Tamandua tetradactyla: one gene and its partners. The protein of the gene in region 1 purifies or fractionates together with the protein of each later gene. This does not show direct contact. Links are inferred from orthologs where the notes say so. Each region holds a gene or a part of one and is shown on either strand. Other genes may lie near its edges. The genes, in order: EFTUD2, CDC5L, PRPF6 and EAPP.

Region 1 (7,588 bases):
TTAAGCATTAACTCCCCATTTCCCACTTCTATTCCAGAACTTATAATCAGCTTTGTCTCTATGAATTTCCATATTCTAGTTAGTTCACATAAGTGAAATCATACAGTATTTATCCTTTTGTGTCTGGCTTATTTCACCCAACACAATGTATTCAAGGTTTATCCATGTTGTACCAAATATCAGAACTTCATTCCTTTTTATAATTGAGCAATATTCTATCATATATATACCACACTTTATCCATTCATCTGTTGATAGCTTTTTACTTATTTAAATGATTGACAAAATTAAAAGAATAGTGTGTGGTACATGAAAATCAATGAGAGGAAATTCAAAATTTATGTCTATAAATAAATTAACACAGTCACATGCAGTCATTTATATTGTCTTAGGCTGCTTTACACTACAACAACAGAGTTGAATAGTTGCAACTGAGACTATATGATCCACAAAGCCTAAAATAAGTACTTTCTGATCATTAACCAAAAAAGTTTGCTAACCCCCTTGCTTTAGTGTATGATTCCTACAAACAAGGATATTCTCCTGTATAACCACACTACAACCACCAAAATAAAAAACAAAAAAAAATTAGTTTTGGCACATTACTACTATTTAATTCATAGGACTCCATTTAAGTTTCACATATTTCCAATAACATCCTGCACAGCAATGGATCTGATCCAGGATCACATGTTGAATTTAGTTGCGATGCCACTATTATTTCAAGCTGGAACAAGTTCCTCAGTCTTTCCTTGACCTTCATGATCATGACACTGATAGGATTACTGGCCAGTGATTTTGTAAAATGTCCCTTAATTTGGGTTTGTTGATGATTTCTCGTAACTAGATTTAGTTTATGAATCTTTGGCAGGAACACCACAGAAGTAATACCATGTTCTCCTCCGTACATTTTGTCAAGTGGCACATGATTTCAAATGGCCCCTTTAGAGGTGATGTTAACTGACTAAGGTGGTGCCGGTCAGGTTTTTCTATCGTAAAATGACTAGTTTTCCATTTGTTATTAATAAGTATTTTGTGGCTTTTTTCCACGTCAATTACTGAAATTCTATTCAAAGTGACAGTTCAAATGCCCTCCTTATAGTGAGTCAATTTTTCACTTTCCTACACTGCTACAGCACTTTGCACCTTTATCAGCATTTAATTCTGCTAACTAGTCTCACTGAGAACTCTAAACTTTCTCCACATCCTCTCCAGCACTTGTCATTTTCTGTTTTGTTGATAATGGCCATTCTGGTGGGTGTGAGATGATATCTCATTGTGGTTTTGATTTGCATTTCTCTAATGGCCAGGGACGTTGAGCATCTCTTCATGTGCCTTTTGGCCATTTGTATTTCCTCTTCTGAGAAGTGTCTGTTCAAGTCTTTTTTCATAAAATTTACAAGTAATAGACAACACAGAAGAGCATTTTTAACAGGGCTCTGGAATTGGAAGATCTAGACTCAAATCTTGACTTTGTCACTTAAAAACTGAGTGACTTCAGATAAGTTACTTCACCTCTCCAAACCTGCTTTCTCAACTGGAAAATGGAGTGAATAATTCCCACTGTGTAGTGCTGTGAGGATTAAACAAAACAGTTTGCACACAGAATTCAGCACAGTTATCATTATTTCTGGACATTCTTGAATATGGGGACCCTATACTCCTTGTGTCTACCTATAAATGCCCTAGACAGCACCTTGCATAAGTAGGGGTGGGATAAATGTTAACTATATAGAATGCCCAACTTTGAGATACTGATATTTCTTGCATTAGGTTAATCCTTCCATCTCCCTCAATACTACCTCCTCAATGCTGACCATAGATGAAATAGAGAATTGAGTCCTGTGAACCATTAATTAAATGTAAATATTAGGAAAGCATTTGTATTCACGTACTCTTTTTTACTTCCAAAGAGCTGTCACATCTGTGCTCAAGTCATCCTCCCAAGATCTCATGAAGTGACAAGAGATTCTTATACAAGGCTATTTACAGAACAAGCCTCAGATCCTCTGTATTTGCTATGCCCTCTGTATTTGTTATTCCGTCTGTCTGGAACGCTCTTCTGTTGGATATTTATGCCTTTTCCCTTCACTTCCTTTAGGTCTTTATCAAAATGTCACCTTCTCTGAGAAATCTTCCCTTGTCACTCTGAAAAAGTCCCCCACATATCCACTCTCTGCCCCTCACTTAAACTGTTTTATTATTTCCTTAATATATATCACAAGCTGACTTTCACATCTATTCGTCTGTTTATCGTTCACTGACTCTACTACACTCTAAGCAAAGACTTTGTTTTCTCCTTTATCACAGTGCCGGCACAAAAGAGACCCTCAATAAATATTTACTGATGAATGACTCCACCAAGGCACAGAGAAGCTAGGTGACTTCCTCAGTTGCACAAAGCTAGTTAGTGACTTTTGGCGCCGGTCTTCACTGCAGCTTCCCGCTATCAAGCATATTCTCAAAAAAAAAAAATCAAATAAAGAGGAAAGCAGATTGGTAAAGAAGAGGTGAAGGCGGTCCAGAAGTGGGAGTATGTGAGAAGGCTAAGCAGTTAGAGCACGACCCCTGCCAGGAACGGAATTTTATGGATGGACTATATCGAGGGAATTCAGGGATCTGAGCGGGGTGGGGAAAAGGCCTTTCTGGAGTGGTCCCTATGTTCCTTTCCTGCTCTAGGCCTCAATTTCCCCACATGTAAAGTAAAAGAACAGACAGCACATAATGCCTACTCCAGATCTGACGTTCTTTAATTTCCCATCCCACCCGGAGCAACGTTTCCATACCACTGACCCTCATCAACTCACCTGCCGCCTGCTAGCCAAGAGTCCTAACCCAGCCGCCGGCCGCCGCGCTTCCGTCCCACGCCGCGCGACACCTGAGCCCGCGTTGGGAAGGACCCCATAGACGCCTTAGTCGCGTTTCTGCCGGGAGGACAACCCTCCGCCTGAGGACTGGCTCGGAATAGCGCCGGCCGCGGAGACAAAAACCTGCGAGGAAGAGTCGTGGGTCCCCACAACAAAGCGTGGACTGTCCCACAGAGAGTAAGTCCTGAGTAGGCGTGAATTAGAGCAGGCGCCTATGGACCACCCCGAAAGGGGGCCTTCGGGCGGATCACGTGGGCAGGCTGGTGGAGCAGTTGCTAGGCAACCACAGCTGCTGGGCGCGATCTGCACTGAGTTGCTCTTTTGTCCCAATTTATCAGGGTAACCCCAAAGAAAGCAAGGCGTCTAGGGCCTGAACTGCGGGATAAAGTTCCGGGATCTGAGTCGGGGGTTAAAAGTGGAAGGGTTAGTTGTTCTATCTGTTCAATAGATAGATAGATTGGGAAGGAGTCAAGATGCCTGAGTTGAGTTTCTAGCTCACTCTGGTCCTTTCCTGTCGTTTCTCTTACCCATGCTGGGGATGGGGGTAGTAGCCGTGGGGTTGGATGAGGACCTCCTGCTTGTCTGCCTCAGGACAGTTGATAACTCCGCCACAAAATTCACCAGGAGGTTCAGAGAGATCTCAAGCAAGTAAATGTTGAAACCAAAACTAGAATCCATATAGATGACTTCCCGGTAGAAATCCATATAGATGACTTCCCTGTAGAAAGAATCGATCCGCCAAAGGTACGTGGAGGCTGCAGAATCAGAGTGGCAGAATTAAAGAGTTCATCTGAGAACATAGAAACCTGTGCTCCTCCTTGACTGGCCAGAGGCGGGGATCATTGAGCCACTTCTCTGCCATGTGTTGATTTCCTGCTCAGTCATGGCATCTAGTTTGGGTGAAAAATGCCCCTCCCTATTTAAAGTATTTCATGAAAGGTGAAATCTTACCCCAGGCTCAAGAGTAGTTAATAGTTCTTTTTTTAGTTGAAGTGGTCCATCCCAAAAATTTACCCATATGGAAGACTGGAGGGGCTGAATTCTGAAATCCAATGCCTCCTCAGACAAAGCACTCAACATTCAGATAGTTTTAGAGGCAGAGAACAAAATTAATAGGGCTCCAAACTGAAAGTTGGAACTTTGTTCTATTTTTAGTGACAAGTCTTTAGCAAGTCCCTACTCTGCTATTCAGTTCCCCTCCTTGTAAAGCAGAAAACTAGATTTTTGTATTACTGCCCCTCAACACACACACACACACATAAATACAAGGTAAGTTAATGATTCCCAGAGTGCTTTTGGATCATTTTGTGGGATGGCAAAGAATCCAGAGGCCCCAGCATTCCCTTATATTGACCCTCTGCTAATATCCATTTTCTTTGCCTTCCCAGGTACAAGCCATGGAAAGGAATGATGTCATCAACTTCAAGGCTTTGGAGAAAGAGCTGCAGGCTGCACTTGCTGCTGATGAGAAGTACAAGCGGGAGAATGCTGCCAAGTTAAGGGCAGTGGAACAGAGGGTGACTACGTATGAGGAATTCAGGTTGACTCACTGTCATTTTTCTCAGGCCTCTCTTATGGTAACAATAGTGGAAAAGAACAGGGACTCTAGAGTCAGACAGTTCTGGGCTTCATTCCTGGCCTCACCTTTTACTAGATGTGTGATCTTGTGCACATTACTTAACCTCTCTGGGCCTCAATTTTCAAAGAGAGTAGCCCTTGTATCGATTAAATGAGTTGCTGCACAGTAGACACACAAGAAGTATTCAATAACCTTTGGCTATTGTTGCTGTTACTATTATCATTATTGTTATGTTGGTTTGTCAACAGATTCAGCCTGTAGTGAGCCAAGCCCAGCTACCTTCCATTCACAGAGCATTACATCCATTCCTCCATCTCTGTCCTTTGCCCACAGGGGTATTGTCCTTGCCTCCCATCTGAAGCCTCTGGAGCGAAAAGACAAGATGAGAGGAAAAGCGATTGTGTCCTGGAACTGTCACACAACTCCGGGACATACCTCCCAGGATGAGGCTACTGAAATCTCACAGGTAGGGGTGGGCCCAGCCTCTTCAGCCCAGCAAAATTCTCTGCCCTGAACATGCAATCCTGTCTTCTTACAACACATACCTATTCCTTATTTTTAGTGTAAGGACAACAGAGACAGATTTCTGCCTCTAATCCCAGAAAGGAAAGCAACCAGAGGATGGTGGGGCCAAGTTGGGTTCGGCAGGTCAAGTCAGAAATTTGGGCTCCGCAGGTCCCCTTCTGTCAGTCCTTTGACTTTCATTCCCAGATAAGGCTGGAGTTTCTCTGCCTCCAGGTTGTAAATACTATAATGATCTTTTGGCAGTGTTGAGAGGGAGACCTAGTCTGTCAGATCCTTGATACTCACCTCGAATTCATTCTTCTTCTTGAGATTTCCAATCATCCCCTACACCCTGGTCACAGTAAACCATGACTTACTCTCTTAGATTGGGATCATGTCCCCATTCATCAGTGGGAAAATCTTATACAACTGAGGGCTCTCCCTTCCTGTCCCAGCTCCCGCATTTGAAAATGAGGCCCATAGGGACCACAACCAGTACTCAGATAGCACTATCAGAGTAGCAATTTCCCTCCCTCTCACTGCCCCAGAGCAGCTGGACAAGCTCTGGACTCTCTTTCTTTCCTTTGTAATCCAGGAGAAAACACTCCTCCAGCCTGAGACCTCAGCAGAGTTCTACCGCAATTGGCGACGATACTTGCAGAGTGGACCAGAGCGCTACCAGGTCCTGCTACAGCTTGGGGGTCCCAAGCTGGGTCACCTCTTCCAGACAGATGTAGGGTTTGGACTTCTAGGGGAGTTGTTGGTGGCCCTGGCTGATCACATGAGGCCAATTGACAGGGTGGCAGTACTGGGTATCTTGCGCAGTCTGGCCAGTACTGGACGCTTCACCTTAAACCTGAGCTTGCTGAGCCATGCAGAGAAGGAGAGCTGCAGAAGCTTGTTTCAGAAGCTTCAGGCCATGGGTGCCCCAAGTCCCATGAAAGAAAGGCTCAGCCAGGAGAAGCAGGGTCTGGAGGAGCAACCTGAAGGGCCCCAAGATGAAGAGAGGCTCCTGCAGGAGCTTCTGGGACTGTACCAGATGGACTGATAGGACCATCTGCTCTCAGAGGCCCCCAGAGACCACTCAAGGCATTTTGTTGTTGTCTTGGGGGCTCTGCAGGACTGCAATGAGAAACTCACCCCTAATGCCCTTCTCAACTTGGAATTTTCTGAGCAAGAGCAGGAATCGGATCTTTCCCACTTCTCTAACCCCTAGTGGCTCCATGTTTGGAACTCTGGATCCAAAGGGTAGTCAATGGCCCAAGAGTTTGAAAGCAGTTTTACTTCCCACCTTTAGAACCTATCTAAGCCTTTATCCCCTCTCCCAGCTTCCCCTGGCTCTGAGAGATGGCTACATCAATAATGCTCTTCACTCAAAAAAAAGAGAAAGTAAATCCTTAATCCTTCATAGTAAATAAGTGATCTCCACCGCTCTTAATAAGAATATTTATAACCCCAAACCAATGAGTGGCTATTACAACCACAAATGATCAAAAGCTACCTCATTTAGGGTGTAGCATTTCTCCCCAGGGACTGGGCTTCTTTGCAGGTTGGTCCTGGGAAAGTCCCAAGCTATGAGCTCAGGTCTGGCCAGCCCCCCAGACTTCTTCAGATGGCCATGTGTGGTGGCATGAGGATTTCCTTCATCTCTCAGACTGACAGAAAGGAAGACCCTTCCACCAAGTAGGCAGGGCAGGGTAGAGCCTAGAGTGAGGCAGAAATTTTTTCATCCCAGCCACTGGGCCCTTGCTTTTCATTGGTTTCCCCTGACCCATTCTTGGATGAGTGCCAGAGTTCTAGAAAGGCGAGTGAAGGCCAGGTTCTAGAATGGTTTCCTCATGAGACCAGGTCTGGAACATTTGAAGGCCATTTTGTATATCAGCTGGGAATAAATTGCCTTGGCTTTGGCCACTTCCTCCACAGAGTGTAGTTTTTTTTTCCTCGCTGAGTAATCCTTTGCTCCCATCTGCCCCTGCTCTCAGCAGGGATTTTTAGATGCCACAGGGCCTTTAGTGCCTTGGTTTTGCACCTCCCCCTCTGAACCTGCTCTCCTGCAGGCATGAGCCTGGCCCACACCACCGTGCTCCTGTGGGTCTGGGGAAGTCTTCAGGCCTTTGAAATCGTGGAGAAGGAGAACATTTTTCAGAAGACCCCCTGCCCGGCTTTTTTGATGTTTGACAATGCAGCCTACCTGGCTGACATGAGCTTTGAGCTTCCCTGTCACTGCAAGCCTGAGGAGGTGCCGGCTGTAGTCTGGTACTACCAAAAGCACCTAGGTAGCAGCCACACCAAAGTGCTGACAGACTTCGACGGGCGGGTGCTGACCGAGGTGGCTCAGGTGCGGGTGGGCAGCGACATGCTGGTCCGCTTCAGCATCCGCATGTTCAGCTTGTTGGTTTTCCGGGCCCAGCCCGAGGACTCAGGCCTGTACTTCTGCGGAACCCGCAAAGGGGACTACTTTTACGCCTACGATGTGGACATCCAGAGCAGTGAGGGAATGGTGGCCACCTTTAAGGACAAGGGCCAGGAGCCCTTTGAAGATGAGCAGCATGGGAGCCTCCATGTCTTCACCACCTTCTGGGAGTGGACGCCCTGTGACCGCTGTGGGGTGCGAGGCGAGCGGTGGCGCATCGGCCTC
Region 2 (7,188 bases), on another chromosome or scaffold:
TATACAATCTGGATTGTTCTGATGGTGGCTGCTCCTTAAGACTGCCCCACCAGAGATCCTAAAGTGGACATGGCCTCTTGGTGAGGACCCCAGGCTTGGCGGGTGACACTGGGGTGCCTGGTGGGGGAGACTGGCCAATTCAGGCCATACTAGAGGACAGCCCCTGGTGATTGTGGCTATGGGAAACTGATTTCAGACAGTCTGAGACTGTCAGAAGGTGTGTTTTCTGAATCCTGAAGCAGGACAAGTGGTTTGTACATCCAAAAGTGCCTTAAGGCTCATTTTATTCATTTATTTTTATTTTTTTATTGTGGTAACATATATATAACATGAAATTTCCCATATTCATCACTTTCAAGTAAACAAGTTGTATTTATTGCCCACAATGTTGTGCTATTATCACTACCATCTATTACCAAAAACTTTTCCATCTTCTCAAACAGAAACTTTGAACCCCTTAAATATTAACTTTCCATTTCCCCCTTCTTCCTGCCCTTGATAACCTGTAATCTACTTTCTGCCTCTATGAATTTGCATATTCTAAATATTTCATATAAGTGAAATCATACATCTGTCTTTTTGTGTTTGGCTTAGTTCACTCAACATGGTATCTTCAAGAGTCATCCATATTGTAGCATGTAGCAGTACTTTGCTCCTTTTTATGGCTGAGTAATATTCCACTGCATTCCATATTTTGTTTATTCACTCAACTGCTGATGGACACTTACTTGGGTTCCTCCTACTTTTTGGCTATTGTGAGCAATGCTGCTATGAATATTGGCATACAGATATCTGTCCAAATCCCTGCTTTCAATTCTTTTGGATACACACCTAGAAGTAATTCTATGTTTAACTTCCTGAGGAACTGTAAAATTGTTTTCCATAGCTACTGTACCATTTTATATTCCCACCAACAGTGTACAAGGGTTCATATTTCTCTGCATCCTTGTCAGTACTTATTATTTTCTTTTTTCAAAATAATAGTTCTGGTGGGTGTAAGGTTGTAGCTTTTTTTTTTTTCTTAAACAACAGGAATTTATTGTATTGATGTTTTGGAGGCTAGAAGTCTGAAATCAAGGTATCAGTGGACCATGCTTTCTCAGATGTCTGTAGTTTTCTGGTGGTGGCTTGTGTGTCTCTGTACATGGTGATCTGTCTTCTTTGGTTTCCCATTGAGGCTTCTACTTTCATGCCAAAATTTCCTTTGCTTCTGAAGGATTCCAGTGTTATAGGGTTAAGGCCAACCTGATTTAATTGGCTTCATCTTAATAGAATCTTTGAAGATCCTATTCATAGATGACTTGAAAAGGCCTTGTAGGGGACATAACTCAATTCTAAAGAGGCTGAATACCATGTGATATGTGATCTTTTTTTTTTTTTGATTATCTTTTAGTGGATATGTCCTAGCCTGAGTATCCTGAAAACAGAACTCAAAGATGAACTTTCTATTTGAGGATAATTTTAGATTTACAGAAAAGTTATAATGGAGAGAACTTAATATGCCATTTAAGTTATTTGTAGAGATGAAGATAAAAAGAAATAGAATCTAAGTTTGGGGGGAGAATTTGGGATTCAAAAGTGGGTTGGAAACAGTATATGTTTGGGTCTTGGCAGCAGCCAAAATGGACTATTTTGCGGCCAATAAAGTTGTCAGTTGGGGCTCTAAAGTTGAGACAGATGCTAAATTGGAATGAGGATACTGAATAATCTGTATAAACTAAGGAGATAGGGGAAACACTCTCCAGGGGTCTGTGTGGCGTGTCCATATTTCTTTTGGAAGGACTGATCTTGACTCCTTCCTCAGGTAACTGCTGTTGTTGACCTTCTTGTTTTTGCTGAATATACTTGTATTTTGCTTTCATGAGTTTTGCTTTATGGTTCTTGAACCAAACTAGCAGCATTGTTGGATGTATACCCATTTTAAAGGCCATTTCTTTCTGAAGACCAGGGTTTGGGTATGGGTTCTTATTGAATAAGATTGTCAAATCTTCTAGTTGTTTTTCAGTAAACCGTTCATTTCCTTTGTGGATGTCTCTTGTTTTTCAGTAAACCATTCATTTCCTTTGTGGATGTCTCTGGTGCTTGCCTGGAATGGCGCACCTTCTGATGTGACAGGAACACCCTTACGAAGATCCTCTGAGTCTGTCATTTTTTGCTCTTGGTCTGTTCAGGTATTCAGATCTAGTGACAAGAATAGATCCCATAACTCACTGTGGTTTGATTTGCATTTCCCTATCGGCTAAATGATGTTGAGCATCTTTTCATTTGCTTATTGGCCATTTGCAGATTTTCTTTGGAGAAATGTATAAGTCTCAAGGGACATATGACAGGGCTGCTCCATCTGGATGCACAGGTTGTACAGGGTATACCCTGAGGAGGGTGCAATTCACATCCCATATATGGAATTAAATTTTCTTGTAGTAGAGGGTCCTATTCTCAAAACATCAGTATTCTATGAAGTTTTCCAGTTGGTGGCAGTAAAGTGTCTTGAGGAAGGGGTACATTTTTCTAGTTGGCATAAAGGTGACATATGGGCTAGAGGTGGCCCTGAGTTGAAGGGGAAGACATTATTATGGACTCTTCGGATATTAGATCTGAAAGAGCTGAGAAAGTTCTGGCCCAACTTTGGATTTGTTTGGACTCTTGGTTTCAAATAACAGATACCCAACTCCAACAGGCTAAAGCCAACAGGGAACTAACCAAAAGGACTTAAAAAAAAAAAAAAGTACAGTTGGACCTCAGGAAATATTGGATGGAGGGACTCTGATAAAGTAAGGACCTGCCCCTTTCTTCACTTTCCTTTCTTCCCACTTTGGTGCACCTGCAGACAGACTTTCTTCTCTTCTTGGCACAAACATGGTGGTGGAAAACTGGATGTCACATGTTAGAGGTTTAGCAGCCAGCAGAGAAAAGGACCACTTCTACGTCCCAAAGTCAAAATTTCTGGAGAGGAGACTTGATGGCTCAGCTTTGATCAGATCAGTCAAATGGCCAGTGGGTGTATGTGAGCGAGTGAGTGAGTGCACTGTAAAAACAGCAACTGAATGGACAGTACGGGCAAGATGGGCAGGAGGTACTGGGCATACATCTTACAGGAAAGCCTTGCAAACAGCAGTCCACAGATAGGAAATGGTATGTCTCCAGTCACACAGGCAGTTGGAAGCAAAGACAGGAGTAGACCCAGATCTTATCAAGTCTGTGTGCTATTCATAATCTTATGCTGGCTTCTTTTCAAATAAAATAGTGACTTTCTTGATAGAATTTCCCATTTCAAGGTTAAAAACAGCAACAAAAATCTAATCGGAAAATTCTGTGCAGCTCTTCTAGAAGAGGCAAATGAAGAAGTGAAGAAATAGAAGGAGAAAGACATTAAATATTTTCATAACCTCCTGGGCGAATGGCAATGAAATGTTCAGAAATGGTGAAGACTGAGTAACTGGGAGGTGGGAGAGCAGAGAGTTTGCCGATCCCTACCTCATTGTGTATTAGGTATGGTTTGATTAATCTGCTCCCAAACTTTGAGGTAGGTATGGTTAGCACCACTTTTCATATAAGAATACTGATATTCAGCAAGGTTATTTACCCCAGTGAATGAGGGAGAGAGTAAGGATTTCAACCCAACCTGAGTCTGTATAATATTAGTGCCTATCATTGCTAACAATCCACACTGGCTGAAGAGTGATAAATGAAAAACTGACATGATATTTCTGTGGATTTCTGGGGCAACCACTGATCACTTGGGGGTGGTGGGGCTGCAATTGCTTTCCTTTTAATAATAGCTGTCATTTTTCGGTCACATATTATGTATCAGAACTGTGCTAGGCGTATGTACTTTGTTTCATTTATTCCTTGGCACAAGGTCGGTTTCATTATTCTCTCTATTTCACAGGTTAGGAAACTGAGGCTTAAATAAACTGTTGCCTTTCCCTTAATATTCTGTTAATGAATTCCTACTAACGAATTGCCGAATAAAGTGCCAAAGTAACAATTTAGCAAGGCTCGCTACCTACCGACTGGGCTGAAACTCTACCCGGATACGCCCCGCCGCGCCCCTGGGTGACGTTCTGGCCAATCCCATCGCTACGTTCCCGGACACTCTCCGCCTCCGGCTTCTCGCAAGATCTAATTTGTCAGGGACAGTAGTGAGTGCGGAGCGCTTTGCCCAGAGTCGTTTGATGGGTTTCTGTCAGTCTTCCTTGACTAAAGCGTGTTTTTCTTTTCTGCCACCCGAGATCTCGCGAGATTTGCTATTCCGCTTAGTTCCTCTTGCGCCTGCGCAGATCTCTTCAAAGCAGACGGTCGCGCTTGCAGGAAGTGGCGGCACTGGGTCCCGTGGCCGCAGCACCGTTAGTACTTCTTTGAAGCTTATCTCGGCCGTTTGCCGAGACTCTTCGCCGCGAAGATGCCTCGAATTATGATCAAGGGGGGAGTGTGGAGAAATACCGAGGTGAGTCTCCTTTTCCCGCCGTCCGCTGCCCTCCGCCCGATCCGGCCGCTTGTGCGCACGCGCGCAGAGGTCAGGGCGGCGAGGAGGATTCCTTGCGGGGTGTGTTTGGGGGGCAGCGTGTCGGCTGACCCTCTGGGCAGTCACCGTGTGTCCCTCCCAGTGTTATCTACGTGCCGCAAGGATGGGGACTGTGATTTAATCAGCGGGCTACCCAGCCTCGAGCTCACTGCCAGGCACTTGTTAGGCCTTCAGTGAACATTTGTGAATTGAGGACGCGCCCCTCGCGTCCTGGAGGAACTCGCAGTTTGGAGGAGGGATGGGACATCAGCTAGAGTTGGTTTTCTGGGGTATCCTCCTCCCTCAGTCTGCTCACCCACGCCTCGCTTTGATATTCAGAAGGAGGCAAAATTAAAGAAGTGTTGTGGCCAAGAACTTTGTGCCTTCATTGACTTCCTTGCAGAGGTGTAGCAGCATGAATGCCAGATTGGAAGAGTCCGTTATGCCCACATCCCTCTTGGTTGTCTTTTATCACGTATAACCCATCTGTCCTCCCCACAGAGCTCAAGGGTGTCACTTCCTTATCTTCCTGACACTCCCGGTGGTCTCATGGCATTTCTTGCACACGTTTGTTATAGCTTGCTTTGTCCTGTTGTAAACATCGCATCCTTCTGTGTGATGCTGAGTGAGTTCTTAACCTCTCAGAGCCTCTGTATTCTCATTGGTCTAAATGGGGATGACATTACTTTTTTTGATGACTAAATGAGTTAATACATCTGGAACGCTTAACAGAGTGGCACACAGTAGCCTTTCAATAAGTGCCACTTCTTTCTTTTGAAACCTTGCAGGAGGACAGGACCAGGTTTGGTATCCCTAGGACCTAGGGCAGTAAGCATTATGAAGTAGGTTATTTGGCAGATGTTTGCTGAATGAATCTAATAGAGTAGATAACTGCTATATGTATTTAGTTGTCCTTGTGTTTAAGTACAGCAAAGTAACAAATAAAGGCAGTGAAAAGCCTGCCTCACAGTTTGTACTGAGGGAACCAGATTGTTTAAATTGGAGAAGAGATGACTTCTGGGGGAGAAACAGATGTACAAAATCAGACAGCATGATCCCTATGCAGTGGTCAAACCCTGCAGTCTTTTTCATTTACCTCATGATTTTGGAGGTGGGGGGAGGGAGTGGATGGTCAAGCACAGTGTCTAATGTGGGGGAAAAAAAGCGTGAAAGTAAAATGCCCCAAGTGCATTCATCCATAGTGCCATCATCCTTGGTGTCTGTGGCTTAGTCTGTCAAACTGCCCTGGGTTTGGTGAATCCGTATGGGAATAGGTACCCTGGTGAAACAGTGTCTGGTGACTGGTGATCTGAGTGGTGGGGTGGGGGGAGAAATGCTTAATTTTTAGGTTATACCTGAGATGTGGATTCTTGGGTCTATATGGGGGTTAAGGGGCTAGAAAGGAAGTGCCATGGGTGAGCTGAATGCAGAAAGCCTGAATGTGGGGAAGGTATTCACCAGAGTTTCCTTGCTCTTGAGCACCGGCATGTGTCCCCTTTAATGTTCTTTCTCCAAGTATACAAGACCTGACATGAGGTAGGTGTTTATGAAATGTTTTTTTTTAAGTGAATGAGTGGATGAGCTATACCCATTGAAGAGAATGATAGTCACACATCAGAGCACATTTTTTGTTAATCTTTACCAAGTAGGGTTTCTCATGTGGGTTTGTTTCCACTCTCAATTTATGGGCAGGAGGAAAGGTAGGATATCCTTCTGAGGGATTGTCATCTTAATTTCTTGCTTGCTGATTCTGAGGTTTTTAAACTTTTTTTAAAATTTACCATTTGTGTGTGTCTTTCTCTTTTTCTCTAGTTCTTCAGATACTCAAAGTTAATGTCAATTTTGTCTTTTCTCCCTTGGAGTTTGGTCATTGAATATACTCTTTCTTTGACAATTTTTTTAGGATGAAATTTTAAAAGCAGCGGTTATGAAATATGGGAAAAACCAGTGGTCTAGGATTGCATCGCTACTACATAGAAAATCAGCAAAGCAGTGCAAAGCTAGATGGTATGTACCAATTAATGAGTGGAAAGTTATATACCAACTGTGTGCCAGTTAATGAGTGAAAAGTTAATCACGATGAGGAAAAATGTTATTCTTTGAACTTTACTAAAGGTGGTATAACAGAAAGTATGATGTAGGAGTTGAGAATTTGAATTTTAGACTCACTGTCACATGCTTCCTTTGTGATCTTAGGTAAGTCGTTTTTCTAACCCTCTGACCTTACCCCATTTTCTTACAATTGGTAATAATAGTTGGCCCTAACTCACGGAGCTATAAGGCTCAAATGAGTTAATATGCTTGAGAGGGTTTTGAAAAGTCTAAGATAAATCTACTTTTAAGTTCAAATGGGCCTCAGCTTATAAAATGGATTGCGTTCCAAAAGTTCATTAATTGGTTGTTTAGAAAATATTTTCCCAAAGAAATAAATTATGACAGTTAATTTTCTAGGCTAGCTTAGATAGAGTAGGTGAGTTTCCTTATAATACAGTTGAAATATTAAATATTTGCCACCCCCAAACCATAAGATCAGCCAGTATTACACCTGTGGTTTTTTGCCCCTTTTAAATCACAGGGTAGTAGACACATTAAGCTATTTACGTGTGTTTTTGGCATAAGTGGTCTGGTGCCACAGTTGACCGATGTGGTGCTAGGATGATATTTTGGATTGTTCCTAATTTCCT
Region 3 (6,861 bases), on another chromosome or scaffold:
TAACCGTTAAACTGAAAACCAAAAATTGTGCTAATGAGGTAAGCATTTCCTCCCATACAAACCCCACCAGTAAGAGAAAACATCTCTAGGTGGAAAATGCTCACTGAATAATCTCTTTCTTCATACAAACCAAAATTAAGAGATAAGCTACAAAATAACTGATCAGTGCTTTTCAAAATTGTCAAGGTCATGTTAGACTGAGGAGCTGTCCCAACTGAGGAGACTAAGACAACATGATGACTAAACATAACAGGTCCTGGACAAGGTCCTGGGCCAGAAAAAGGACATCAGTGGAAAAACCGGCAAATTTACATGACCTATAAATTGGTTAATAGTACTGTATCAGTGTTTAATTTTCTGGTTTCAATAATTGCACTAAGGTTATGCAAGACGTTAACATAAAGGGAAGCCTGGTGAAGGGAACTCTGAAATTTTTTCTGAATTTTTTTTTTAATCTTCCTGTCACTTAGGAAAGATGCCATTTGTTAGCATACACCTGAAGGAAATGTCAACTCACCAAAGACCAGTTACCCAACTCACTAAGAGGGTGAGAACTAAAGTAAAAGAAAACAAATGTTATCACTAATAACACTCTAAGCTTTCATCACTAAATACCAGCCAAGACAAAACACCAAGGCAATGGTTCTAATATTTGCAAGTATATTTCCTCTGAAGAGACAGCAAAAGAGCACATTTCAGTGTTTTTCCCTGCTCTCCTCACACTCTGCCAATGGCATCCCATGAACAGCTGAAATATGAAATGTACCTGCCTTCCTTGAGCATGCTGGGTAAGAAAACTGGTCAGCCCTTCTAGGGACTGGCAGGGAGCCCAAGGAAAGTCCACGACACAGGAGGTCACCTCATAGGGTCACCACATGGGGTCAGTCACCTCATCGTAGTTGGTGTCGTTCAGATCTTCGTCATCATCATCTGCAGCCTGGTTTTTCTTCATCTGGTCACCAACGGTCCTCTTGCCTGGCGGTGCATGGCGGTCATCTACTGGGTCATTTGCGTCCCGGGCGGGCCCAATGTCTGACCGGGTGGTGAAGCCAGTGGCACTGCGGGAGAAAGCTGCTCAGGGGATCCAAGAGGCCCACCTGCACATGATCCGGGTTACCCTGTTCCCGTGTTCTCCCAACCACCCTCCTTGATAACCTACAGCACCTTTTTTTCTAACATCTGTGAGAAACCTCCAAAAGACATTGGTGGCTATTGTCTTTGGGCAATAAACCTTCCAAGGGGGTTTATTGGGGATGCCAAGGCTCCAAGTCTTCCCTACTTTCTCTTCCACACAAGATGCCCAGAGAATCAAGTCATCCTTTCTCCTAAGTTCCAGCCTTGCATTTCCAACAACCTACTGATCATCTCTACCTTGACATCCAATGAGTCCCTCACACCAACTTGGCCCAAACCAAGTCCTCTGTCTGTCTTGCTCTGCTCTGGGCTGTTTCAAGTGGTGATGGCAGTGCCAAGGCAGGCACCAGAGCATCACCTTCGCCTCCCTCCTTCCTCACCTCCGACCAATCTGTACCCAAGTCCTACTGATCCTACCTATGGGCTATCTCCTCTCCCGACCATAGGACTCCCATCTGGTTGGGAGGCAAATGAGCCTTTCTGCCTCTGGCCTTCTCCTGCTTAAACCCATGCAAGCACTGCTCTAAACAGGCCATCTCAGTCGCCACCACTTTTCCTAAGCCTAACTAAGCTCAGACTGATGTCCAAGGCCCTGCTGACCTCCAGCATCTTTCCCTTCACCACATGATCCATTCACACTGGCCTCCTGCTGTGCTTTCTTCCTCAGTGCTTCTCCCTTTTTTTTTTTTTTTAACCCACACAGAATGTCAGCTTCTGCTCTACCTCTGCCACCTTTCTACATCTCTAAAGTCAACCCTCCTTCAGAACCTGGCTCAAATGCTGCCACAGAGGATTCCCTAGTCTTGGGAACCCCAGAGTTCTCAATCAGTTCCTCTTCAGGTTATTTATGCAAATGTCTCACCTCACCTGAACACCCACGAGAGAAGCTCGTTAGTTTTCCTAGTCAAATGACTAACTAAGCAAAGAAAATAAAGACTGTTCATTTATTCAACAATGTATGTGTTCTGTGTGATAAGCATTGGGACCGGATTTCAAGCCTCGCAGATGCCATCCCTGTCCCTGGGGGACTAAGAGTTTAAACAAGCAACGTGAACGCTACTAGAGAGAAAAAACAGGGTACTAGAAGCTGCTACAACTGAGGCGCCTCATGCAGCCTGGATAGTCAGGAAAAGTTCAGTCACGTTTAGGTCAAGACCGGCAGGAAGAGTGGGTGATGCCTGGCCTGGGGAGGACACTACACATGAGTTTCTACTCCAGGGTGGTTTTACAGCGATATTCCTCAACACGGGTCTCTAAGTGAAAAGTTACATCTCTGCTGAGGAGCAGGGAGATTCCTACTTAGGTCTTTGCTGACCCCGAGCCCAGCGTTTCCCACGAGGCTCGGGCCAAACCACCGCCTGTCTTTCAGATTGTGTGGCTGCAGACTTTAACTTTTATTATTGTTCTTGTTTGGCAAGCTACCCTAAGTCCTGCTGTCTCCAGGGGTTAAGCGTGGATACAATCAGAACGGTCCTTCCCAAGTGGACAAAAAAGCAGAGATGCAGGTGGGAGAAGGCCGGGTCAGAAAGGGAGAGTGATACCCAGCCCGATTCCGTCTCCCTCTCCCTTCCCAAGCGCACCTCCCGCCGCCCCGGCCCCGCCCCAGGACCCCTCCCCAGGCACACACCTCCCGCCGCCCCAGCCCGGCCCTCAGTCCGCTCCGCAGCCCGCCCAAGCCTCACCCGCGGCCCAACCCCGGCACATAGCCCAGAGGCGCAGGCATGCCCAAGAACGGTTTCTTCTTCTTGTTCATGGCGGCGGCGGCTTGATCGGAAAACTACAAGGCCTCAAACGCAAATCCAGGAGCACTGACGCCGAGGCTTCGCCGCGGACACAGGACGCGTCCCGCGTCACCCGCGACCCGGAAGCATAGTTCGCGGTCCGCGCGAAGCCCCGCCCACCCGCGGGGGTTGGGCGGAAGTTCCTCGAACGCTGTTTCCGGCAACTCCAGACCACTGCTGTAGTGCTGGGATGCTGGTGGCCACGTCTGCTGGTGGCCAGGTGGGCAGCGCCCGTCCGGCTCGAAGGGGTCAAAGGGCCACAACACCCAGGACAAACCCTGCGGGACCCTAACATGGCGCCTGTGGCATTTCTGTTTTCTGAGTGTTGAGTGTTCTCAGATGCGTTTCGCGAGGAGGCCTTCCTGTGCTAACAGGACCCCTCCCCATCGAAGCCAGCCCGGCTGCCAGGGTCCCATCCTATTCGGCCTCCGCTAACCCCCCTGCCCCTCAGAGCTGCCCTGGTCTTCCAGACAGGCAGGCCCTAATGTCATCTGAGCAGAGCTGCACGCCCATGTGTGTATGTTCTGATTGTGGGCAAACCTGTCTGTTGTGCATCTCTTGTACACAGATTCCCCGGCCCCAGTTGAGCCGCTGGTCCCTGGCAGTCAATCCAGGGACTCCCGCTGCGGTCGGGCGGCACCCGTGCCCTCAACCGTTCCCTGAACATTCTGGTGAGGGCCCGAGCCCTGCCTGTTTTGTTCACTGCACGTCCCCAAGCCGAGTGAACATCAAGGCCCCTGCAGACATGTCCACATACACGTCAGTATGTATGCATGGGCAGTCACAGCATGTGGGTAAATTCTGTGTCAATGTTGTGTATTGGTGGGATGTGCTCAGGTCAGGTTGCATATGTGTGCATATATTTCGGTGGACATGTATGACTGAAATCTGCATGCATTATTGCATGTGGATGTGCATCTTTGCTCATTCTGGCTGGGGAGGCATCCTCCACTCCCGAACATACCTGGGGGAGCACCGAGGCCCCTCCCACTCTTGACCACATCTGCTCTCTGGCAGAGCAGGCAAAGGCCAGCTGGTGCTGGGCAGGGCGACCACACACTTTTCCCTGTGCCCTAGCCCACCTCAGCACTTTTCACTGGGGAACCCAGAGCAAACACATCCCTCCTATCTCATATAGCCTCCCTCTCCCCTGCAATCTTTAACTGAGCCTCACTCATCTCAGTCCCTGAGATGTGCAGGGTGCTGCACCAGACGCTCAGTGTCCTTCTGAAATTCACAGGATGGTGGGGACAAAGGAGAGATAAAACTGGTGTCTCCGAGGTGACCATGCCGGGCCCACTGGAGGAGAGGTCTGTAGAATGCGAATGTGTGAATAAAAGAGTGAACGAATAAATTAATGAGGTAGTGTCTACGTGGGACATGACTCCCAGGGGTGTGGACCTTCCTGGCAATGTGGGACAGAAATCCTGGAATGAGCTGAGACTCAGCATCAGGGGATTGAGAAAACCTTCTCCACCAAAAGGGGGAAGAGTGAAATGAGACAAAGTATCAGTGGCTGAGAGATTCCAAACAGAGTCCAGAGGTTATCCTGGAGGTTATTCTTACACATTATATAGATAGCACCTTGTTAGTAAGGATGTAGTGGAGAGGCTGGAGGGAACTGCCTGAAAATGTGGAGCTGTGTTCAGGTAACCACGTTTCTTGAAGATGATTGTATAATGCTATAGCTTTCACAATGTGGCTGTGTGATTGTGAAAACGTTGTGTCTGATGCTCCTTTTATCCACCTCATCAACACACGAGTAAAACTTGGAATAAAAATAAATAATAGGGGGAACAAATGTTAAAAAAAATTTTGCCTGAAATGCTAGTGATCAATGAAAGGGAGAGGCAAGGTGTATGGTATATATGAATTTTTTTCTGTTATCTTATTTCTTTTTCTGAATTGATGCAAATGTTCTAAGAAATGATCATGATGATGAATATGCAACTATGTGATGATATTGTGAATTATTGATTATATATGTAGAATGGAATGATCAAAAGTTACGAATGTTTGTGTTTGGTCTTTTTTGGTATTTAATTTTTTTTTTAATTAATTAAAAAAAATAATGAGGTAGGTAACTTGAGGGAGGTGTTAGGAGGGTCTGCTCTGGCTCTTGGTTTGGGCTCCTAAGGGTGGATGGCCCAGAAGTAGGTACGATTCGCCCCCCTCACCCCAATACAGGGGACCCAGTAGTCCCCACGATCCCTACCTCAGACGCAAGTTCTCCTTGCGTCTTCGGAGCCCTGCCAGGTGCGGACGGACGCCCTGTGCCCTCGCATACAGTCTTTGCACACGCAGACCCGAGCGCGCGCGCGCGTGCGCGCCGCCACACCGCCGAGCTCCCAGAGCGCGCGGGGCGCAGGGGCTCTGCGGGCAGGTGTCTCGCGCGCAGACTCGCCGGCCGCGGAGACCCGGCGCTGCTGACCACAGCGGCTCAGGCGCGACGACCCGCTCAGGCGCGGGGGGCGCGGCGCTCGGTGGGGCGGGGCAGCGGCGCGCGTTCCCCGCTACCACACCAGCCGCGGTGCGCTCGGCTAGGGGCGTATGCGCGCGGGCCCCATGTTCACCGAGCTGAGGTCCAAGCTGAGCCCCCCAAGGGGTGGCGCCGGGGCCGTGCGCGCCGGCTTCGGGGAGCGCCGGGATGTGGATGGTGAGCGGGGCCGCGCCCGGCTAGGGGCTGTGGAACGAGGGAGGCGGGACCCTGCTGGCTTGGAGCGGTGGGGTGCTGAGGGGGGCGGGCCCTGGCCGCACAGGGTCCCCTTGGCCTTTGTCCTGTGTGGAGGGTCGGAGGAGGGCAAGTCGACTTAAGACCTTAAGGACCAGTGCGCCCTTGGCCGGGCTCCTGTCGCCAGGCTGGCAGCACACTGGGGTCACCTTTTTCTTCGCGCGCAGAAAACCCTATCTGGCCCTGGCAGCGAGGCCGAGAAGGTGTGAGGTCACAGCCCAAATTGCTGCCTACTCCTCATTCCCTGCTAGAATTCCGACGTTAGACTGGGAAGGACCCACCGACCTGTGGACGGAAGCCCCTTCCCCTAGTGCCAAGCAGGAAATGGGCGGGGCCCGGCCAACCCCGGGCAGGTGCGCGCGGGGGCGGCCGACTGGCTTCCTGGAAGAGTGCGGGGAGGTCCGGGCCCAGCGCCTCTGCCCTGAATGGTGCGGCCTTAGAATAAGTCTTTGCCCACGTTACTAGAAGACAATTCTCGGGGTGGGGCCCACACCGACCCCACCCTCCGAGTCTGACTCACCACCTCAAACTTAGAGTCACTTAGGTACAGGTGGAGGGCGTAATTCCCAACCTGGGGGAGGTGGAAAGAGAAGGGTGGGATGCTGATTTGCTTGTGGGGAGACTTCCTGGGCACACGCCCAAGCCCGGCCCCAGGCGGTGGGGACCCGGGATTGGTCTTGGAGAGGAGGTAGGGTCTCTCCTTCTAGGGCTAAAGGGGGAGAAAGGAGCACTGGCCCTTGGCCTCAGCACGGACCCCTACCCTGCTGACCCAGAGCTTGGGTCCCAACTTCCTGTCTCTCCCACCACTTCTCTTGACTTTGCCACACGGAGCTTTCCCCTTCCACCCTTCCTGCCTTCCCTTCTTTCTTCCTTCCCTCCCTTTTGCTCTCTCCTTCCTTTCTTCCTTCCTTCACAATGTTTCTCATGGACCTTCTGGCTCCTATCAAGGTGAATGTCCTGCCTGATCTCATTTCAGCAAAGATCCCAGAAATGACTGTAAAGCAGATGCTTGACAAGGGTGATGCAGCTGGTGGGGGACGAGGGAGTCTGGGCATGCCATGGTTCCCAGGCCTGATGCGTGTGCCACACCTGTGCTGAACCAGTATGCGCCTGCCTGCACTGCCACATGCCCAGTGCTGACCTGGGCCTGGTGACTCCCCATGGCCGGGCAGGGAAGGGGGCAGCCCATGCAGAAGGCAGCAAGGCAGGAAATCC
Region 4 (7,845 bases), on another chromosome or scaffold:
AGGGAGGGGCAAGGGGTATGGTATGTATAATTTTTTTTTCTGTTTTCATTTTATTTTTCTGTTGTTTTTTTACTTCTTTTTCTGAATTGATGCAAATGTTCTAAGAAATGATCATGATGATGAATATGTAACTATGTGATGATATTGTGAATTACTGATTATATATGCAGAACTGAATGAGCATATGTTAAGAATGTTTGTGTTTCTTTCTGGTAATATATTTTTTTAATTAATAAAAAAAAATTTATCTGGAAGGGCAGTGTGCCCCAAATAGCCAAAAATATCCTGAGAAAGAAAAATGAAGTTAGAGGTTTCCTACTGAAAACAAAATAAAATAAAATAAAGTATCAGTGGCATAGAGTTCAAATAGAGTCAAGAGGCTACTCTGGAGGTTGCTCTTACACAAGCTTCAGTTAGACCTTGCTACCTACCATAACATGCCAACCCCTAACTAGGACCATTCCAGCCAATCCTAAAGAACACCTAGGGCAATATATAAGATTCCACAAGGGTTCCAGACACTAGTGTAACTTCTCAGAAATCTACAACCTTCAGATGGGACCCTGCTGCAGATAAGTCCTGAAACCTAGCACAGCCTCTCCAGAACATCAGATAGTTCCATCTCCCTATCCCGTATTAGTGACAGACGCTTCCAAAATCAAAAATTTAGAATTGCCATAGCCCAAATACCCTAAGGAGAGGTATGGAAATTTCAAAGGTGATGGTGGAATTATATATAGAAGATAGGACTTAACAAATGAATATGAATGCTGAATCACTAAATTGATATCTCTTTTAGTCTGCAGTTATTTTAGAACAGCTAGAAGTAAAAACCTAAAATTGTGAAAGCGTAACCCACGTCAAAGTCTGAAATATGTTCTACAACTAATTGTGGTGCTGTGCTTGGAAATTTATAGTTTTGTACATATATTATTTTTCACAAAAAAAGAAGGAAAAAAGTCGACTGTGATGATAAAAAAAAGTATTAAGCCCTCTAACCTCCTATATTCTGGAGCAGCTAAAAGGAAAAATATGAAAGGATCATATGGAAGCCCATGACAAACTCTGGGATCTATCCTGTAACCACTTATTGAAGAGTGCTTTGAAAACTACTGCTTTTTTTATTTCTTTGCTTTGTATATATGTTACACTATACAAAAAAAAAAAGTTTAAAAAAATAATTACTAGGGCAGGCCATGTTTGCTCAGTGGCAGAGTTCTCGCCTGCCATACTGAAGACCAGGGTTCAATTTCTGGTGCCTGCCCATGCAAAAAAAAATTTACAAGATTGCATTTGATACATCTATCATACCACATGCAGCTTTTCTCACTTCATACAGCAACCATTTCTGCATATTTCAAAATATATTCTTTTTCCCTGTTCTTGAATTGTTTATACTCCTGTTAGACTAGCAGACTAGAAAAAATTTTAAACATAGTTTAAGGGAGGGTACCTAAAATATAGTTGTTTCATTCCACTCTTAACCTTGCTGCCAAAAATGTCCTTCCTAAAGAATTCTGATCATGTCATTATCCAACTTAGACCTTCAATTGGCCAAATCTCTGAGAATAGCATTGAAAACAGCCTTCCACAATCTGGCTCCAACTTATCTTTTCAACTTCACCTTTCACTATTATTCTTTCTCTACCCCAACTGGAGCAACTGGCAGAGATTGCAGCTAAATATTTCTCAATGCAAAGGACAGCCTCCCACAATCAAGAATTATCCAGACCAAATGTAAATGGAGTTAAAGTTCAGAAATTCTCACATGCCCTATACTGCAGTGTTTCCAAAGTGTTGGATGCAAGAGACAATTTTAAGCAGTACCAGGAACTAACAACTTACATGTTGATGGGAATGTAAAATGGTAGGCACTGTGGAAAACAGTTTGGTAGTTCTTTAAAAACTAACATGCAACTACCATACAACCCAGCAACTGCACCAACGGGCATTTATTCTAGTGAAATGAAACTTATGTTCACACAAAAAACTATTCATGGGCCTTGTGTGTGATGCTCCTTTTATCCAGGGTATGGGCAGATGAGTAAAAAAATAAGGGACACATAGATAACAGGGGAGACTGGGGGTAAAAAAAAAAATCAGATGGAAATACTAGTGGTCAATGAGAGGGAGGGGTAAGGGGTATGGGATGTATGGGTTTTTTTTCTTTTTATTCTTTTTCTGGAGTGATGTAAATGTTCTGAAAAGCTCTTTCGAGATACATATTTTGTCTTATTTTTTCTACCATACCCTAAGCCTGCAGAAGTTAAGGCTCTTGTGGCTGACCTCTGGAGTCAAGTAGTAAATAACAGGTACTCAAAGTCTGTGCAATATTCCTTATTCCCTCGTATTTCTTAATGGAAGTTTGGTCTTCAAGATGGGCATTTCATGCCCCGTGAACCTCACAACAAACTTACAACACAGTTACTGTATGTCCATTATACAGGTGAAAAACCGAGAATAAGTAACTTGCCTTAGGTCACTCCGCTAGCAAGCTGCAGAGACACGATTCGGTCTCACCGCTTTTGAAGATTTACACGTAGCCCCACCCCACCCCCCACCCCCACCCCCACCCCACCCCCACCGTGATTTCCGTAATATCGACCTGCCCCGCGGCGATATCGGCCCCGCCTCCCGGGGCTGCGCGATCCCCACCAGGAAGCTCCCTCAGTCTCCGACAGGAAACCGCTGGGCACGTCGGGCGACCGAACTCCAGGACCCAGAGTCCGCACAGGCCCAGCAGGCGCAGCAAGAGGAGGAGGAGGAGAAGGCCCGGCCGTGGTCGGAGCCTCGGGGACTGGGGCGGGACGGGGGCCCACCTGCTTAGAGCCGGCTCTTCGTCGCTGGGCTCTTCAACCGCATAGGGGTCATAATCATCCAAGAGCTTGTTCATGGTGGCCTCCACCCGCCGACACAGTCCACAGGCGGTGGGCAGAGGATGTTTACTCCGCCGTTCCCTTCCCTAAAGCGTCGCCGACTCCACTTCCGCCGCACGACCGCGTCCTTCCTGCGCACATGCGCAGACAGGCCCTGCGAGGGGAATCTGTCCCAGTGTAGCACGGTTATCCTCCGTGGGTTGTGCTTACAGGGAACTAACAATTCCCTTAATCCTCCCAAGATAGTCATTGGTACCCTCCTAAGTGGCAGTCTCTGAGGTAAACACTCGATATGTAGTGTCACATTTCACCTGCGTGAGGTGTCTTGAAGCAGAAATCTAGATGCTGAGGGATATGAACCCTGAAGCCAGTCGTCCCTAGATGCTGATACCCGATCTCTCTCTACACTCCTGGCCTCAAGCTCTTTCTTCTAGTTTGCTAACTGCCAGAATGCAACACACCAGAGGCAGATTGGCTTTGAATAAAAGGGGATTTATTTCATTAGTTCTTCAGAAGAAAGGCAGCTAACTTTCAACTGAGGTTCTTCCTTATGTGGGGGGCACATTTGATCTTGCTGGCCTTCTCTCCAGGCCTCCAGGCCAACAATTTACCCGGGATTGATTCCTTTCTGCATCTCCAAAGGCCTGGGCTGAGCTACGAGTGCTGAGATGAGGTATGCCAAGCTGCTTGGGCTGTGCTGCATTGTGCTCTCTCATTTAAGCACCAATTAATTAAGTCAAACATCATTCATTGCAGCAGGCATGCCTCCTAGCCGACTGCAGATATAATCAGCAGGTTCACCTACCATTGGCTCATGTCCACAGCAACAGAACTAGGTGCCTTCACCTGGCCAAGTTGACAGCTGAATCTAACTACCACACCCTTCTGCATTCTTTCACTGAGCAGCTTGCTGCCTCACTTTTACACTACTCACTCCTCTCTGTCTGACTTCAGCCCCAGCTGTCTACCAAAAAGTTGCTAGGCTGTCACCAGTCACCTCCATGGCCTTTTCTCAGTCCCAACCTTTTCTTAGCACTCATCGGATCCCATTCTGTACTTGAGAAGATGAGGCAGATGACAAACTCTTGATCATGAGATCACTTCCTTCTCTATGTCTGTACCAGCCTGTACTCAGTTTCCTGCCTTCTACCCAGACATTTCTCTTGCTCATGATCCCATCCAGATGACACATATCTTTGGTCCCTGTGCTCTCTTCTGATAATATCTTGGATTTTCAATTACCTGCTGCACCACTGGTAACTCAAAGTCCCATTCAAACCTGATTCAACATTTTCCACTCCATTCCAATTTCTCAGCCAAAAGTTACTTGTGACACATGATTTCTGCTCATGTCACTTCCTGCATCCTCACAACTACTATAAGCTGAAAGTCTTGAAATCGTGCTTGACTCCTTTCTCTGCCCCTTTATAGGTCCTCAATTCCCAAGTCTTGCAAATTTCTTTTCAGCCTGTCTCATCCACACCCCATTTCCCCACCCCTTACTGTGCTGGTTTGAAAGGATGTATGCCCCCTAAGAAAAGACAAGTTTTAATATAAATCCCATTTCCTAAAGGTAGAATAATCCCTATTCAATACTGTATGTTTGAAACTGTAATCAGATCATCTCCCTGAATGATGGGATTTAGTCAAGAGTGGTTGTTAAACTGGATTAAGGGACGACATGTCTCCACCCATTTGGGTGGGTCTTGATTGGTTTATTGGAGTCCTATAAAAGAGGAAATATTTTGGAGAATGAGAGATTCAGAGAGACTCAGAGAGAGCAGAGAATGCTGCAGCACCACGAAACAGAGAGTCCACCAACCAGTGACCGTTGGAGATGAAGAAGGGAGACACCTCCCGGGGAGCTTCATGAATTAGGAAGCCAGGAGAGAAAGCTAGCAGATGATGCCGTGTTCACCATGTGCCCTTCCAGCTGAGAGAGAAACCCTGACTGTGTTCGCCATGTGCCTTCTCACTTGAGAGAGAAACCCTGAACTTCATCGGCCTTCTTGAACCAAGGTATCTTTCCCTAGATGCCTTTGATTGGACATTTCTTTAGACTTGTTTTAACTGGGACATTTTCTCGGCCTTAGAACTATAAACTAGCAACTCATTAAATTCCCCTTTTAAAAGCCGTTCCGTTTCTGGTAATTGCATTCCAGCAGCTAGCAAACTAGAACACTTACCTTGACTGTTAATATAGTCTAATTGACAGCTTTGCTTTGTTCTTTTCCCCTCTACAATCCATGCTATTGTCCACTGGCAGAGTAATCCACAACACAGCTCTGCTCTGGCTGATTTCCCTCCTAAAAAGTCTTAATGTTTCACCTTTACCCGCTGAATCTGTTCACCTTAGCCTGCAGTATCCTCAGCCTTCCACTATATAGTTCAATTCATCCTGCCAAACTACCCACTACACCCCTATACATACCCAGTATGATTTTCTGATTCCAGAATATTTTATGCCTTTTCACCACTAAGTCTTTGCTAATGCTATTCCCTTGAAATACCACCCCTCCTACTTGTATTTTCAACTGTTCAAACCCTACCTGTCATCCAAGATCCACCTACAAGCACCAGATGGGTCAATAGTTGGATGGAATGACCATAAGGATACCTTCCACACTGTACCTCTTCTATGATGCCTTTTCAGATTCTCCTTCTACATGGGATCTTTTCCAGCTTTGAGCCTTTATAACATATTATACTACTCTCATGCCATGTATTTCTCTGGTTTTCAACTGTTGTTCCACCGAACTCTTTTGGGAGGTACAATATTCTCCCTTGAGTCACAGTGATGTGATGGAGCTACTTAGTGGGATGCCTTTTTTTTTTTCTGGGACTCCTGGCCCTATTTAGGGGCACATCCTTACGTTCTATAATGAATGAATCCATAAAAACGGGACCAGTTACATTCTTGCTCCCATCTAATTAAAATTAAGAGTTAGTGATTCTATATGACTGCTGTGTCATCATATTGATGTTTCTTTTAGTCTCTAGTGTCTTGGAGCAGCTAGAAAGAAAAACCTAAAATTGTGGAACTGTAACCCGTACCAAATTCTGAAATCTGTTCTGTAAAAATTTGGTACAATGTACCTTGAATTTTCTTTTTTTTTTTTTTTCACGTGGACAGGCACCGGGAATTGAACCCAGGTCTCGGGCATGGCAGGTGAGAGTTCTGCCGCTAAGGCACCGTCGCACTACCCTATACCTTGAATTTTATTGTTTTTTCTATATAGGTCATATTTCACAATAAAAAATGTTAAAAAAAAAAAGAGTTAGTGATTCTAGAGAATTGACTGGTGTTCCTAGGACTTGTAACAGGGCAAGTAAACTCAGGGGCTGAAGCTGCCATTTTGAGGTGGCTCTTTGGGGGTTATATGTGATAATGAGCAAGCAAAGAGAAGCAGGAAGATGGGACAGAGAGAAAAGCAGAGAGGTTTCCTGCAACTCCCTTGTCTAAAACAGTCCTTACCCCTAACTTCTACTCTGTAGCACATCTTCCAATCCCTTAATCTGCTTTTTTCCCCCTTTTACCTCATATTACTTATTTGTTTGCTTACTCTCTTGTCTTCTTGCTCTGCTGGTCTATTGCTACACAGAAAACCACACTGTAGATACCCAGGGCCAGAGCCCCTCCTCTGTATTGAGAATAAATCACTGAACATAGCTGCCTACATAATAACCAAGACAGAAATTAAGGCATCGACTCTCCTCGGGAGGAAGGGTGGAAAAATGTATACATGGTATCATAAACAAAGCATTAAAACTCCACTCCTTTGATCACTGTTTGTGTGAATATGTGATGATAAAAGAAAACCTTTTCATGCAATTTAGCTCTCCTGGCTTTCTTGGGTGATGTACGAATGGTGGAGGGGGTGGGCCCATTCAGAGAGTGAAGGGAGCACCCCCCAGGGAGCAGGAAGTGGAAACTCAGAAAAGGCCAGAGTGGAAGCAAGAGGAGAGATGTTCCAACTAGCTGATATTAAGTTTCCCTTTTACTTGATGGGGAGGGGGTCTTAGAAAGTGGGGAACAGATGTGCATTGATTACCATGGTCTGCTTATCTACTCTGATAAACTCTCTGGGACCCAAACTGGTTTATCCCCAGGTGTTGCCTGTCTGCAGTTCTGTAGGTGCCTCCCATTGTTCTGCCTTCTAAGAAAGACCTGCAGATCAACTGGTTTTGTCTTCTAGAAAAATCCTTCTTGGAAAGGGCTCTTCTCCCGGCAAAACTCTCCAGTGGCTACCACTGGTTTATTTTGTCAGGAGGGCTAGTAGCCTCCGTCAGTCATTTTGTTCCATTTTTTATTTTCATTTGTCTGGTGTTTCTTTTCGTGATTGCACTGAGGTTCATTGGGTAGCTGGCCCTTGGAGTGCAGTTACTCTCTCCAAGCTGGGATGTCCATTATTGTTACTTTCAGTCTCAGTTCACTAGAAAGAGCCCCACTGCTATCTTATTCTCCTTTCTTTGCTGACCTGTAAGGCTGGGAACCTGGAGCAGGCACCATTTGAGTTTTCTCCAGATGGTTCTTGTGCAGGTTTGAAAGGATGTATGTCCCCTAAAAAAGCCACATTTTAATCTAAATCCCATTTCAAAAAGCCAGAATAATCCCTATTCAATACTGTATGTTTGAAACTGTAATCAGATCATCTCCCTGGATGATGTGATTTAGTCAAGAGTGGTTGTTAAACTGGATTAGGTGACGACATGTCTCCACTCATTTCGGTGGGTCTTGATAAGTTTCTGGAGTCGTATAAAAGACGAAACATTTTGGAGAATGAAGGAGATTCGGAGAGAGCAAAGAATGCTGCAGCACCACGAAGTAGAGAGTCCACGAGCCAGCGACCTTTGGAGATAAAGAAGGAAAACTCCTCCCGGGGAGCTTCATGAAATTAGAAGCCAGGAGAGAAAGCTAGATGATGCCGTGTTCGCCATGTGCCCTTCCAGCTGAGGGAGAAGCCCTGAC

Evidence for each region.
Region 2: the proteins of EFTUD2 (region 1) and CDC5L purify together in Homo sapiens (affinity purification with mass spectrometry; 6 studies listed by BioGRID and IntAct, with this or other methods). This does not show direct contact. The link is inferred for Tamandua tetradactyla from reciprocal best matches to the Homo sapiens genes EFTUD2 and CDC5L.
Region 3: the proteins of EFTUD2 (region 1) and PRPF6 purify together in Homo sapiens (affinity purification with mass spectrometry; 6 studies listed by BioGRID and IntAct, with this or other methods). This does not show direct contact. The link is inferred for Tamandua tetradactyla from reciprocal best matches to the Homo sapiens genes EFTUD2 and PRPF6.
Region 4: the proteins of EFTUD2 (region 1) and EAPP purify together in Homo sapiens (affinity purification with mass spectrometry; 4 studies listed by BioGRID and IntAct, counting the BioPlex papers as one, with this or other methods). This does not show direct contact. The link is inferred for Tamandua tetradactyla from reciprocal best matches to the Homo sapiens genes EFTUD2 and EAPP.

The regions. Positions count from the first base shown.
Region 1 is NC_135332.1:22,527,138-22,534,725, reverse strand, and holds the start of EFTUD2 (116 kDa U5 small nuclear ribonucleoprotein component), read right to left. Parts: upstream 3,019-7,588; 5' UTR 2,808-3,018; intron 1-2,807. Other genes in the region: DNAAF19 (dynein axonemal assembly factor 19), read left to right, coding at 4,265-4,407, 4,780-4,912, 5,546-5,998; Ig-like V-type domain-containing protein FAM187A, read left to right, coding at 7,010-7,588. UniProt on the Homo sapiens protein: Required for pre-mRNA splicing as component of the spliceosome, including pre-catalytic, catalytic and post-catalytic spliceosomal complexes. Component of the U5 snRNP and the U4/U6-U5 tri-snRNP complex, a building block of the spliceosome.
Region 2 is NC_135331.1:102,015,632-102,022,819, forward strand, and holds the start of CDC5L (cell division cycle 5-like protein), read left to right. Parts: upstream 1-4,171; 5' UTR 4,172-4,402; coding exon 4,403-4,447; intron 4,448-6,407; coding exon 6,408-6,511; intron 6,512-7,188.
Region 3 is NC_135327.1:61,424,831-61,431,691, reverse strand, and holds the start of PRPF6 (pre-mRNA-processing factor 6), read right to left. Parts: upstream 3,021-6,861; 5' UTR 2,888-3,020; coding exon 2,817-2,887; intron 1,059-2,816; coding exon 890-1,058; intron 12-889; coding exon 1-11. Other genes in the region: SAMD10 (sterile alpha motif domain-containing protein 10), read left to right, coding at 5,466-5,571. UniProt on the Homo sapiens protein: Involved in pre-mRNA splicing as component of the U4/U6-U5 tri-snRNP complex, one of the building blocks of the spliceosome.
Region 4 is NC_135340.1:19,477,185-19,485,029, reverse strand, and holds the start of EAPP (E2F-associated phosphoprotein), read right to left. Parts: upstream 3,010-7,845; 5' UTR 2,894-3,009; coding exon 2,820-2,893; intron 1-2,819. UniProt on the Homo sapiens protein: May play an important role in the fine-tuning of both major E2F1 activities, the regulation of the cell-cycle and the induction of apoptosis. Promotes S-phase entry, and inhibits p14(ARP) expression.